2 linked regions of the Caenorhabditis elegans genome follow. The protein of the gene in region 2 interacts with the protein of the main gene of each other region in a pairwise test. Each region holds a gene or a part of one and is shown on either strand. Other genes may lie near its edges.

What was found.
Region 1: the proteins of cnp-3 (region 2) and tax-6 interact in a two-hybrid assay, tested with the Caenorhabditis elegans proteins (one study listed by BioGRID).

The regions. Positions count from the first base shown.
Region 1 is NC_003282.8:10,495,004-10,502,915, forward strand, and holds the start of tax-6 (Serine/threonine-protein phosphatase 2B catalytic subunit), read right to left. Parts: upstream 6,058-7,912; coding exon 6,018-6,057; intron 5,533-6,017; coding exon 5,443-5,532; intron 5,195-5,442; exon of another isoform or gene 4,916-5,194; intron 4,707-4,915; coding exon 4,606-4,706; intron 4,559-4,605; coding exon 4,073-4,558; intron 3,753-4,072; coding exon 3,613-3,752; intron 3,565-3,612; coding exon 3,487-3,564; intron 3,411-3,486; coding exon 3,316-3,410; intron 3,214-3,315; coding exon 3,088-3,213; intron 3,043-3,087; coding exon 2,965-3,042; intron 1,540-2,964; coding exon 1,531-1,539; intron 264-1,530; coding exon 179-263; intron 1-178. UniProt on the Caenorhabditis elegans protein: Calcium-dependent, calmodulin-stimulated protein phosphatase. Dephosphorylates arrd-17. Dephosphorylates daf-16 at 'Ser-319' which regulates daf-16 nuclear translocation. Dephosphorylates calcium permeable cation channel pkd-2 at 'Ser-534'.
Region 2 is NC_003284.9:17,135,297-17,139,856, forward strand, and holds cnp-3 (Calcineurin-interacting protein 3), read right to left. Parts: upstream 2,815-4,560; 5' UTR 2,812-2,814; coding exon 2,728-2,811; intron 2,677-2,727; coding exon 1,990-2,676; intron 1,872-1,989; coding exon 1,263-1,871; intron 1,210-1,262; coding exon 988-1,209; 3' UTR 704-987; downstream 1-703.

The sequences.
Region 1 (7,912 bases), on a different chromosome or scaffold from region 2:
ATTGTCAAAATCATGCTTTAAGTATGTTGTTTTTTTATAGAAACATTAAATTAAGATATATGTTATCAAAAATAAATAAAAGTTAACTAAAAAAAATGCTCATTCTATAATAGAAAAAAACTTTCTATTTAAATTCATACAAATTCGGTTTAAAATTGAAAAAAATTAATCAACTTACCGAAGAACTGAGAATGCTCTTGCCATCTTTCCAATTGCTCGAATCTTGTGTCGAATAACCTCTTTTCTTGCAGACCCCACTCCACCTGAAAAATTAATTTTTAAAAAAGAACCGTCAACATTTACAAATGACATGGCAACAACTTCAAAAGGGGTGACACCATTCACTGGCAACCACATTACCAATCAATAGAAATCCCCGAATGAAGTTAGAAAAATGTCAAAAATAAAATGAAAGCCATGTACATATATATTGGCTAATAGGTGAAAAATTACTACTTGTAAATAGTGTGAATATGGGGAGGGCAAAGGGGGTAAAAATTTGGGATTTTGCAATGTGCCAACCGTCACCGAAAATGATAGAGGTTGAGTTAGAGGAAACGGGTCCCATTGGGATTTGAAGGGATTACGGTAGTTTTTGTTGTAAATAGTTTTAAAGAAGTTTTATGCTCTTGGAAAAGAAAATTTATTTGTCTAGTTAATTTAACTACAATTTTTTATACAAAAAACTAAACTTGTTCGATTGTTAACATTTTCTTATTTCGTTCCAAGATTATGTTCCGTAAGAATAGCCAAAAAACTCATAGTTTAAAAAATCTTCTTGTCGAGTAAACATCAATTCTACTTTTACAATTTCATAATAATTTTTCAAATATACCGTAATATACTAATAAAATATAAAGTAACCTTTTTGAGAAAATATTATGTATAGAAAAAATATACACTTCAAGGTCTTTTCTCACAGGTTTGGGGAAATTTCCACTTTCTCATTTCTTATACCGTACCCCTAAAAATCCCAATAAAGACACCCATTTCTTCCAATTAGTAACTAATTTTTAGGGTGGGGAATCAAAACCAAGTGAGAGAATTTTGAATTTTAGACTGCTCGAATTCTTTCATTTTCTTCGATTTTTTGACTTTCTATTTTTTTTCAATGTTTAAAATTGGAATTTTCAGAATTTTTGAAAAGAGACCAAAACACAGGAGAAGACCAGGTTGGAAATCCGACATAAAACATGCAAAACACAAGGCGTTAAAAGTTTAGCAGCACACAGCCAAATGAAACAACTAAAACAATTATAATTAGAAAAAAGCAACGTATTTTTTTTTAGAAAAACGGAACAAAAAAGATAAGCAGAGCAGCCACATAAAAGTCAAATAAATAGAAAGCCGTATTCAGAGAGAAAAATAAAACAAACTAAGAAATGGTGTATAAGCGCCAAACGCCCGAGGTGGGTGTTGTTTAGGGTGTTCCGAAGAAAGTTTGGTAAAAAATTAAAGAAAAAATAAAACTAAATCTGATAGTCAAACATACGTCACCAGTGTGTGGTGGGTAGGGGAATATCCACTTACCATCTGCTCCTTAAAATTTTGATTAGACTTTTTCATTATTTTTTTGTAGCTAGTTTTGAGATTAATGTTTAGATCTTTACTGAGATTTTAACATTTAACTTTTTTAAAGGCGCGTGCGGTTAAGGAAAAAACGGACGGCTTGAAAACACAGTTTCTGACAAATTTGTCAAAATTTTATTGGATTTTCAGAACAAGTTCAAGCCTGCAACACTGGGAAAAGGTAACAAGTTTACCGACATTTCAAGGTTTTAGAACAATAGACAAAAATTAAGGGATGATGATATTCTTACGATGGCATGGTACTTCTGTCATTCAATTCTATTGACAAAATGTCTTCCAAGCCAAACATGGCTCCGGCAAATGAGCTCAAAATTTCTACAAGTAGTGCTCTGCTATGCTCAAGGTCAACAATACATGCGTTTTTTTCTCAATCGACATCATGGTTTGTGTACTAGTGACTAGCATTTCTACATCGTTCGAAAAACTATATTTCAATTTGAAGTGTGAAATCCTACAAAAAATTAAACCTACAAAGTGGCGCTAATCTTTTGAATACTGTACACATAGGGAGCGTATGACTGCTGAGAAATGCTAATTCAGATGAGTACAATAGTTACAGTTTTGAACTGAAGTAATCAATCATGTCAAACTGAAAAAGAGAACACCTATATATTTCAGTCATTCTCAGTCAGAGCACACACGCACACTCACACAGAAATATCAATTCTCATGCCAATACCTTTTTTCGTTTTTCCTTTTCTTTCTCATGGTTTCTTTTTCAGAGAGCTCAATCAAAAAAAGAGTAGCACAACATTCAAACAATGACCAAATATTCAAAAAAAGGGAGAAAAGAAGGAAAGAAAAAGGAAAAAAGAGAAGGAAAGGAAAAGGCAAGAAACTAGAGAGAAAAGAAGTAGAAGAGAGACAGAGAGAGAGAACCGTACCGGACACACAACACCGATTTTTGTGCATTTTTTGAGGTTTTTGAAGGAAAATTGGAAATATTCCTATTTCCCTTTCAAACTCTCAGTGCCTTATTAATTTTCAAACAGTCTCTCTTCTTCTTCTCCTCTCCTTAGTTTATATCACAGTAGGAGAAAAGAGTGATATGAGGTGAATAGGAACAATTTTCTGTTCTTGTTAAGATATACATTTACAAATATATATATAAATTAATCGAGCAAAAAACACATGTATTCCATCTCTTGGGGAGAACGTTTCAATGCGGCTTTTCATTTGCCAATTTGAGCCGAGCACAAGACAAAATCATTGAAAGTGTATAGAGACAAAATTGGCGGTAGAAGATTATTTTAATTTAAAAAAATTATATATACATAAATATTTTTTGTTGTGAAATAATTCATATTAAAGTGACCTAGTTTTTTACGCAGTAGGACCTCCTTTGAGGGAGCCAGTGCTTAATCATGAACATACCTTCAAAGGTGTCATCGCATTCAGCCATCAGCTCGTCGTCAGAACAAATGTTGAGAATGTGAACCAGCATCTCCGTTACTAAAAGGAAATCTCATTTGGTTTTCGACATATTTCTTGCTATACCTTTTTCTCCCACAAACGGCAATGACCACGTGAACACATCCATAAAGTTCGGCAGCCAATATGGATGAGGACTGCAGTTGAATTGACGAATATTCATCACATTGTTCTCGTACTTCAGGATGGCAGCTGAAAATTGTTAAGTTGTTTAATGTTTAATGTTTAATTTTCCGAATTTTGTTTTCTTTTTGTTTCTCCGTCAAAAAATGCCATTCCCATATTTCCTCTCACCTTTGTTGTTGTAGACATCCAAATAATTTGGAGCACTGAAGATGGTGATCAACGATGGGAAGCCTGTGGCTTGAGATTTGCGATACATGCGGTATCTGGAAAATAGAGTAGAATTAGAAAAGAGGATTAAGGTTCTCTTTTCGCATCTCCTGGCGACGGATAAGCTCTTACCCGGCATCTTGAGCTTCATGTGCGCGAATGATGGAGAGCAGATTGTTGTGTTGCAGGAAATCACAGCATGCAGCGTAGCTATAATATTTCGTTCTATTAAAATGAAGATTATAGTGAATGGGATACCTGTAAAAGTATGAGCACCCTCTAACCGAATTGTGACTAAATTGTTCTGAATTCCTTTCGTTTCCGAAATCTTCAAGTGGGTCTGACCAGAGAAGATCACACATTGGACCAAATGCTGGGGGCTCCTTGAATCTGTCTATCTGAAAGTCAACAAATTAAATAGACATTTAAGATATGGTCGTAATTTCGGATTAAAGTTAAACAGTACTTTAAAACATATAAAACAAACATATACCGTAAATTTTCTCTCAGTATTGCACCTAACTATTTCACTTTAAAAACTTCACTCGGTTCATGATACATATCAAAGAAATTAATTGAAAATATATTGAAAAAGAACTAACAAATATTTTGTTAATTGAGAATTTTTTGATAGAACAAACGACAACGGGTACCGTACTAATAGAGAAATACGGTATTTTTCAAAATATTAGTTTTAGATCTCATGTTTTTCACTAACCCTCCTGATATCCTCCAAAGTATGGATTTCTGGGGACAATCCACCATGAACACAAAGGAATTGTTGGTTCATGAGAGCTGCCAACGGTAGAGCATCAAATGACTCCATGCACACATCGTATACCCGTTCAGAGTACTTGATCTTGCATTCTTGTTTGAATGTAAAGTACTCTGTCAAATGACGGCATTCATGGTTTCCTCGAAGCAAGAACAACGTGGTCGGATAGCAGATTTTGAGTGCCCACAGATACAGGACACATTCAATCGAGAAGTATCCTCGATCCACGTAGTCACCCAAAAATAGATACTTGGTAGTTGCGGGCGATCCGCCAACTTCGAATAGTTTCATGAGATCGTAGAATTGACCATGAATGTCTCCGCATACAGTAACCGGCGCCTCGATTTCCAACATCGTTTTTTCGTTGCGGAACAGGCTTGAGCATTCTTGAATCACACGAATCGCGGCTTCTTCTTCTATCCTTCCTTCCTGCAAAATTGTTGATTTGATTATATTCTTAAAAATCTATTCCACACCTTAATAAAATGATCTCGAAGAACTTCATGCCTTGGTTTTCCAGTCCGCCGGTCGTAGACCTGATCAACGGTAAGGCGTTCGGAAACAGGAAATTGAACGGCTGAAAAATGAGAAATTAGAAAAAATATAATGTTTTCATTATTCCATTTTACTTCCGAATTCCTTCATCTTTCTATTCCCTTCTTCTATTTTTTTTTCAATTCTTCTCAAATTCCATGCTCTTCTCACGCTCATCTTCCCCACATGGCGCCCGAGCCGCCGCCGCCCTCCTAAATTACTATGGGAACCCTCTCAAGCGTTTCGGGATTAATTTTCGATTTCAAGCTACAGCAGTCACTCACTCCCCTTCCTTCCCGTCTTCTCTCACACACACGACGACGCCAATGACGGCGACTTCGTCAGAATCTTTTCGAATAGAAAAAGAGAATGACGGAGAGAGAATCAGAGAGAATAAGAACTCTCTATCTCTCGATATATTTTCTATGTGCCTGGTGAGCCGACGCGGAGCCATTGGTGAGCTCCTCAGAGCAACGGACCCGCGTGAGTCAGACAGTGAGAGTTTGCGCTGAGAATAGACGAGAAGAAACTCTCTGCGGCTCTGCAGCTCACGACGACAACGGGACAAGCAAAAAAAAAAATTCTCTGCGCGTATAATTTCTGGCTTCTTCAATGTGTGTGTGCCAATGTGAGGGTGGATGGGGGTGGTTGTGGTGTGCTGCGCAAAAAAAAAGAGAAAAAAAGAGCATGGCGCTTTTCTCCGTAACCTGAAGCAAGAAACACTTTAATTGGTTTTTCTTTTTCAAACTGCCGCCCGACTGCAGAAGCCAAATACTTACTCTTGACAAATCGTTCGGTGAACTGCTTCAAATCACGTTCGCGTTCACGATTGTTGTTCGAGGCGGTGGTGGTAGTGTTGGTAGTGTCAGCTGAAAAAATGGTTCTTTTCATGCATTCCAGATGAGATCCATTTTTCTTTCGCTAGATTTTTTCGGATAGAGACACCTAGAAAAAGGATGAAGCCCCCGACGACTGCGTGTGTGATGATGCACAACAACACTACAAATTCGATTTGTGTCTCTATTTCCTTCTAAAATCATTTTTCGAGGGGGCAAAAGGAGATAGAGGGAAAACAACAACTAATTTTTCGATAACATTTAAAGGTATGTAACGTGAAACGGAAACCAAACTTCAAAATAAATTGATTTGAAAAAATATTGTTCTTTTCCCGTATTTTCCCAATCAAAGAAAATGAAAATTCTAGTTCCTACTAAAATTGAAAATGGACTATTTAACTTTTTGAAATTTATTCAAAAAATGCTCAATGTTTGCTGATTTTAGCGATAGTCTTAAATTGCAAAAAATAAGAATAAAAACAATGGTAGTTTCAGACGAGGATTCAGTAAATACTTACGTTTAGCTGCAGAGTTCTGTCCTGCCGATGTCGAGGCCATTGTGTGTGTTTATATATTTAAAATTGATGATGACTTTTCCTTTTATCGACTGATTTTTTGTTTCACCTGCAATTCAAAATTGTAAGAAAGTGAGGGAAACTCTGGAAATGGTGTGGAGTTGCGCGGAGCCGAGTATCTTGGGGCAGCTGACTTGTATTCTTGAGCTCCTTTTTTTCCTTTTTTCTTCATTTCTCTTCTAGTCTCTCACGCGGCTCTCCTTCTCTCGCGGACACCATGGCGATTCAATTTTTATGACTTTTATGAGAGAGAGGCCAATACCTCATATATTTTCCTTTTTCGGCGCGCGGCGCCACTGACGGATCGGATGTATTTTGTTGGAAAATGAAAACGAACCCTTTTTGTTCAAAAAAATGAGTGAATGAGCTACTCTGGTTTGGTATGAACCCGTAGATGAAGCGGGGAAACGGCTATGTGTGGAGATGATGTAGCTTTGCGAAACAGTACGATACCCTCCTTCGGACCGTTTCACGTCACTTCTCTTCACACCACGGCACGACGGATCGATCTTTCACAGGCCTGCAATCAACATTTTGGTCAATTTTTGTCATACGGAGAGAAAAAGTTCAACATTTACGAATTAAATAACGATTATGAAAGAATAACGTCCCCGAAAAATAAGATGTTCCAATGCAAAGCTTTCCGTTCAATTTAACAAATTGATAGTTAAAAATTTAAATTCAATAAGAAAAAGAAAAGAAGCTTGACCAATCGAATAATTCAGATTGAAGGGAAAACTAGTTGTGCATGCCAAAAGGCGACAACAATGGGCGGGGTTCCTTTGGAAAAGACGAAGAAAAGGAACAATTGAGAATTGGAAGGAGAATCAAGAGAAATTTATTTGAGAAACATTACAACCAATTTATTAGCGAATTTTCTTAAAGCTAAAATGTCATCAAAATATGATTTACATCATTGAGAGAGCAACTATATAATTATTCTAGAGAACAAATTTATTCCGAACGTTTCTTCAAAAATATCTTAAACATCATTCATTTTTGACAACTTTATCAGGAAATTCAGCATCATCTTCAAAAAAAAAACAGTCAATACCACACTTTATTTTTTATTTCGCGAATTATTCAATTCTGACAGTTTCTCTGTCGTTTTGTCAACTGACAAAATAATTGTTCTGTTTCTATCGTTTTATGTATACTAGGTAGTGCAATACAAATAAAAAAAACGATATCAGTTGTAGTACTGTACAACTCTAAGTGTTTGTATTTAAAAATAGAACTTTCAAACAATTTTATAAGTTGAAAATGTCTTCTTCCTAGGAGCGATGTCATTTTCTAACTACTGTTCAACTCATGCTATGTATTGATTAAATCATTTATGAGCAGAACCAAAAACCCACATGACTTTGAAAAAGGGAAAGATCAAAAGTAATGGGCGGTGTGTGTTATCGATAAAAAACCTTTTTTCCCTCTGCGTGAGAGAGATGCTCTTTTTCTCTGCTTCTCTCTATCGATAAGGCACAATGAAAAATGAAAAGAAGCAGCACGGAAATTGGGTAAACATATGTAGCGATGCGACAGAAACGGAGAAAATTAGAGAAATAGACAGTTTCAGTTAAAGCACGTTTCAAATGTTGTCTAAAAATTATAGGTGGAAAATTTAGCAAAACCAGGCTTTCTACTCTCAAAATAAACACAAAAAAAAACAAATTTCAGACAAAAAGAAAAAGTAAAAAAAATCGGAAACTCTATGTATTGTAAAAACAGAACATGAAAATTCTCTAAACGACATAATAGTTCCATTCTTAAATTTTTAGTCATCACTAAGAAAGGCTTGTTGTTGTTGTTTATTCCTTCCAAAAAGATAGGTCCCTCTGGTA
Region 2 (4,560 bases):
AATTTAGTTTTGAGACACTTATGTTTAAAAGCTAATGTTTGCAAAAAGGCGTTGTTTCTGAAACTTTCCGATCCCGTGGAAATGAGCTTTACTGAACCGTCACTAACTGGAAAATGTAAAAAATACATTGGTGATTATTTCGTCCGATTAAACAGTTTGACCTATCTAAAATTAAATTTCACAAAGATAGGTAACTTCAAAGCCAACTTTATTCCGCAAAATATAGTTTTAATTCAAGAATAATTGTCTCGAAAGTAAATTGAGCAACATTTTATTTAAAATTCGGAATTTCCAATTGATAAGCGTTCAGAAAATGGATCACTCATTCTATATTTCTTTTCACAGCATACGGTATTCCCTATTGAGAGGAAAATAAAAAAACTTCCACTCCCTATAGAAGACTAACAGGTTTTTGTGAAAAGTGAGAAAACACCGTTCATTAATCTGTAATTACGATGACCGTATAAAATTTATATTTTAAATTTCTTCAATGCGTTTTCATTTAAAATAGTATACGGTAAGCAAGTTTTCACTGCTAATTTTTGCACTACTCCATGTTCAAAAAGTCAGTTATTCCCCCATTCCACATGTTCTAGACTTGCTGGCAATTCTCCAAAAACCAAAGACGACTGTAGCATCAGAAATAGATAAAAGTGTTGAGGGGAATCACGCGTTTTTATAAACTGTGTCCTTAAGAACACTCCGTTGTTGAACTTTTTATTTGTGAAATTCAAATGTGAGTTAAGTGAAAACAGAACAGAATCAATAAAGTAGAAAACAAAGAAAACATAGAAAATTCAAATTTTCTGAGCCCGGTAATGTTGATAGTCAATATATGAATCGATTATTTAAATGAGTAAGTCCCTAGAAACAAATTGATTATAAAATTATCAGTTGACAGTCCTACAGTACCCTGAACTAATTGTGAAAGCATACGGTTTTTATTAAGATTGCGTTAGAACAATGAATGTTCATTTAATAATTTAATTACTTCTGACATTTTTGAAAAGCGTGATTTAAAAATGCTGCCATTAGTTTTTGCTGCTCTAATGCTCTCAAAAATGATGGGGTGAGTGAATCGATTGGGGCAACGTCTCCCGGAGCAGCAGTGAGTAGAACATTTGGATACGGCATCATTGGAGGCATTGTGCTCGTCGAAGGAATCGTAGGGATGAATGGGGGAATCATTGATGGAATTGATTGTGGTGGCTGAAATATAGAAGTTTTTGAAATGGACGAACATTTTCTCAAAAAAAACTTACCATTGGAAGTGCTTGGTAATTCACCATTGGGTACATCATTTGTCTAGATGGCATAATTGTCTCAGTGCGCTCTGCTCGATTGGGTTCATCAATAGTTACACGTTTGCCGGTTGGACAGGCCAACAAGTCACCAAATTCTTTACGTTTTAATGTCGAAGCTGGAACTGTTGGGAGTGTGAGTGTTCCGGATGGTGATGGCAGCGCCGGAGGAGTTTCTTGAGTCGTTGAGATCTTTCTATCTTGCACTTGAAGCTTCTCTCTAGGAGAAAGCGTTTGCTCTGGAGAAAGCGTTTGCGACATGTCCATACTTTGCGGTCGATCAATCGACATATCCATGTCACTTGCGATTGTTGTTTCGTTGTTAGATAAGAAGGTAGATGACGATGGAACTTCTTCATATTCGACTTTGATTTCTGGAATTTCTTCTGACCGTGGAGACTTGACAACATTTGGCATTGGATTCCAGACAACAGATAGGTGCCCTGGTGTTCTCGAAACTGGAGCAAAATATTCCACAATTCTTTCCATTTTTTCCTTGTCTGCATATTCTGGATATTTACAGAACATGGTGAAAATCTGGTGGTAGACAGCTAAGATGTTGTTCCATATCTGAAAGTACAAATTTTTTAGAAAGTTCTACTCATTCTAAAGATAACAACTCGTAAACAATAGTGTTCTTTGCACAGGAAAAACCTCGGTTTACGAACACCTAACAAGTTAGACTTACATCTTTCTTCAGCTCGTTGTTGTACTCCTGAAGTTGCTCTCCTTGGACCATCATTGTGTTAATGCTCTTCCAACATACCCAGCAGTCACTTTTCAACTGTTCCCTCACAATTCTCTGATTTAATCTGCTTTTTGACGACGCGTAATTGGTTTTGTCCTTTGAAGAATTCAAATTGTCCTTGTGGTCTGTGAGCTTGTGATATTGCTCGCGTAGTTTAAATAGATTTTCGGTGTACATATTCGGAGACTCTGGTCGATGCTCGAAAAGCATCGTTGCATGCGCTTTCTCGCGGAAAATTGCCAAAAAATCTTCAGCCTCGGGAATTCCAATATTAAATCTGTCGTTTGAATCCAAATTCGTGTACTTTGTTAGCATCTCTTGACAGTCTTTGATCATGGATTTAATCTTAACTTCCACTGTTTCCACTGACATCTCCTCGGTCAATTGTTTGAACCTCCGCATAATGGCTGTGATTTCAGAAAACAGCTTTTGACACGTGACAATTTCATCACGATTCCTCTTGGTATACTCCCTGGAGTTTTTGCTGCTCTCCTTTTTCCGGTGCTCTTCTGACACTGGTTCAGCTCTTTTGTGACAAGATCTTTGCTTTCTTGGGTTGAAAAGTCTTGTGCGGTCGAAGGCGGAAATGTCAATTTCTTTAACTTTATTAGTTAATTTTTTAATGTCCTGAAAAAATTTAGATATACTTAAGTACACTTGTAAAAAAGAACAACTAACCATGTTATGGTAACTATCACCTTCGGAATCTGAGCTTCTGACGGATAAGGCGGAACCTGAGTTTTCGCGTTTTAGGGAGCGCATTCTCTGAAAATTGAAATTTAGAATCACTAAGTCACTACGAAGAGAGTAAGAGAAATTGTCAAAAAAAAAGTGGAGAAGAAACGTCAAGAAATCTAAGGTCAGCAATGGGATAAAATGTGATAAGATTGCCTATATAAATACAATTATTTTATCAATCAATTCGGGGTGTTGTCTCGACCGAACACAACATGACAAATCGGATGAAAGTGATGACGTGACGGTCTGACAAATGTCATTTCGCAATTTGGGGAATTGTCATTGTCACATGCGTAACGGTCAGTTGGTGAATCAGTCAACGCCCACGCTGAGAGAGTGACAGTCACAAGTCGAAAACAAAGAGATAGAGAGAAGATAATGGAAACTTGTTTTATTGATCTGATTGATAATTGTGATTGGGGAAATTTTACTGTTTAATTTTTAAGTGACGTTTGAAAATGTTGTTTTAGTATTTTTTTCAACTTTATTTTTTCGAGACTTCTGTTTTTTATTTTGAGCTCAAAAGGTAATTTTTTTTAGCGAATTGATTTTGAACTATTAAAACTTGGCTCTTTCACGTTACTTTAGTATACATACTGTCATAGGAAATTTTAACTTCGTAAGAAAACAGTTTTTAGTTTTCTGAAAAAATGTAAATTGCTCATTTTTGGTTTTTTTTTGAAATTCAAAACAAACTACTATCATATGTCACAACTACTTATTAAAAATTGATTTCTCAAATTATTTGTAACCAAATTGATCAATGTTAATATATTGACTAATAGTAAACTTCAAGAAAAAACTAGCCTCTTAGTTAGAACAAAAAAATATTTTGAAAAATTAGGAAAACTAACTCCATTTGACGTTGACGTTTAAGACAACTAGAAAAAAACAAGCAAAACAAGCAAAACACCAAAACAAAAGTGACAACAAAAACCGATAAAACTGTTGCAATGTAAGCGTTGTATTGCAAGGAAAGAGAGAGTATGTAGGTCAACGCGTCATAAAATCAGCAGTGTTCGCATCAAATTCTTGCACACGGGAAGAATAGGAGGTCAGTTATGGTTTCTTTTGTGGTTCTTGTAACATTTACATATACAAGACAGACAAAAAAAAAGTGAAAGTTCTTTGCGGCATTGAGTCTTTCTAAAAGTTCATGGGACTTTCCCTTTGTCTCAATAACGACTGTGCCGACAGCTCAAACTTGGGCATGGAAAATACTAAAATGTTAAATTGAGAAACGTAATGGGTGGTGGTGTTGGAGTTACGAACTATATTAGTTGAATGTTTGCCAACTGGGTGATAAGAAGAAAAAAAAAGATAAGATGAGCCTATAGTGAGGCATTGAAAGACATTTATTAAATTAGCAACGAACAATGAACATTCCAGAGAAAAAACGCTTCTGTAAATGGGCGGGACACTTTCTGGGAAAGGTACCAAATTGGAAAAAGGCGGATCGATTGCTCCGCATGCGGTAGTTTCCCAAACAGGTGAGCAATGATCATGTGACGTTAATGTCACGCAAATGGTGTCGAAATTTCTAGACTGCCGTTATGTACGGTGTGCCAGATAAATTTTTTTAACACCACAAGTGCAAAAGTCCAATTGTACTTTAATCATTGCAATACTACTACACTTTATTTTATTTGAAGTGCAGGTAGATTGTGTTACGTTAACAGAGGAAATTCAAAAACTAGCACCTGTTCAAAATTAGTTCCCAGTTGAAAATTACTGTATTTTTCCGTTAGGACTGTTTGAAATTTTATGCAAACT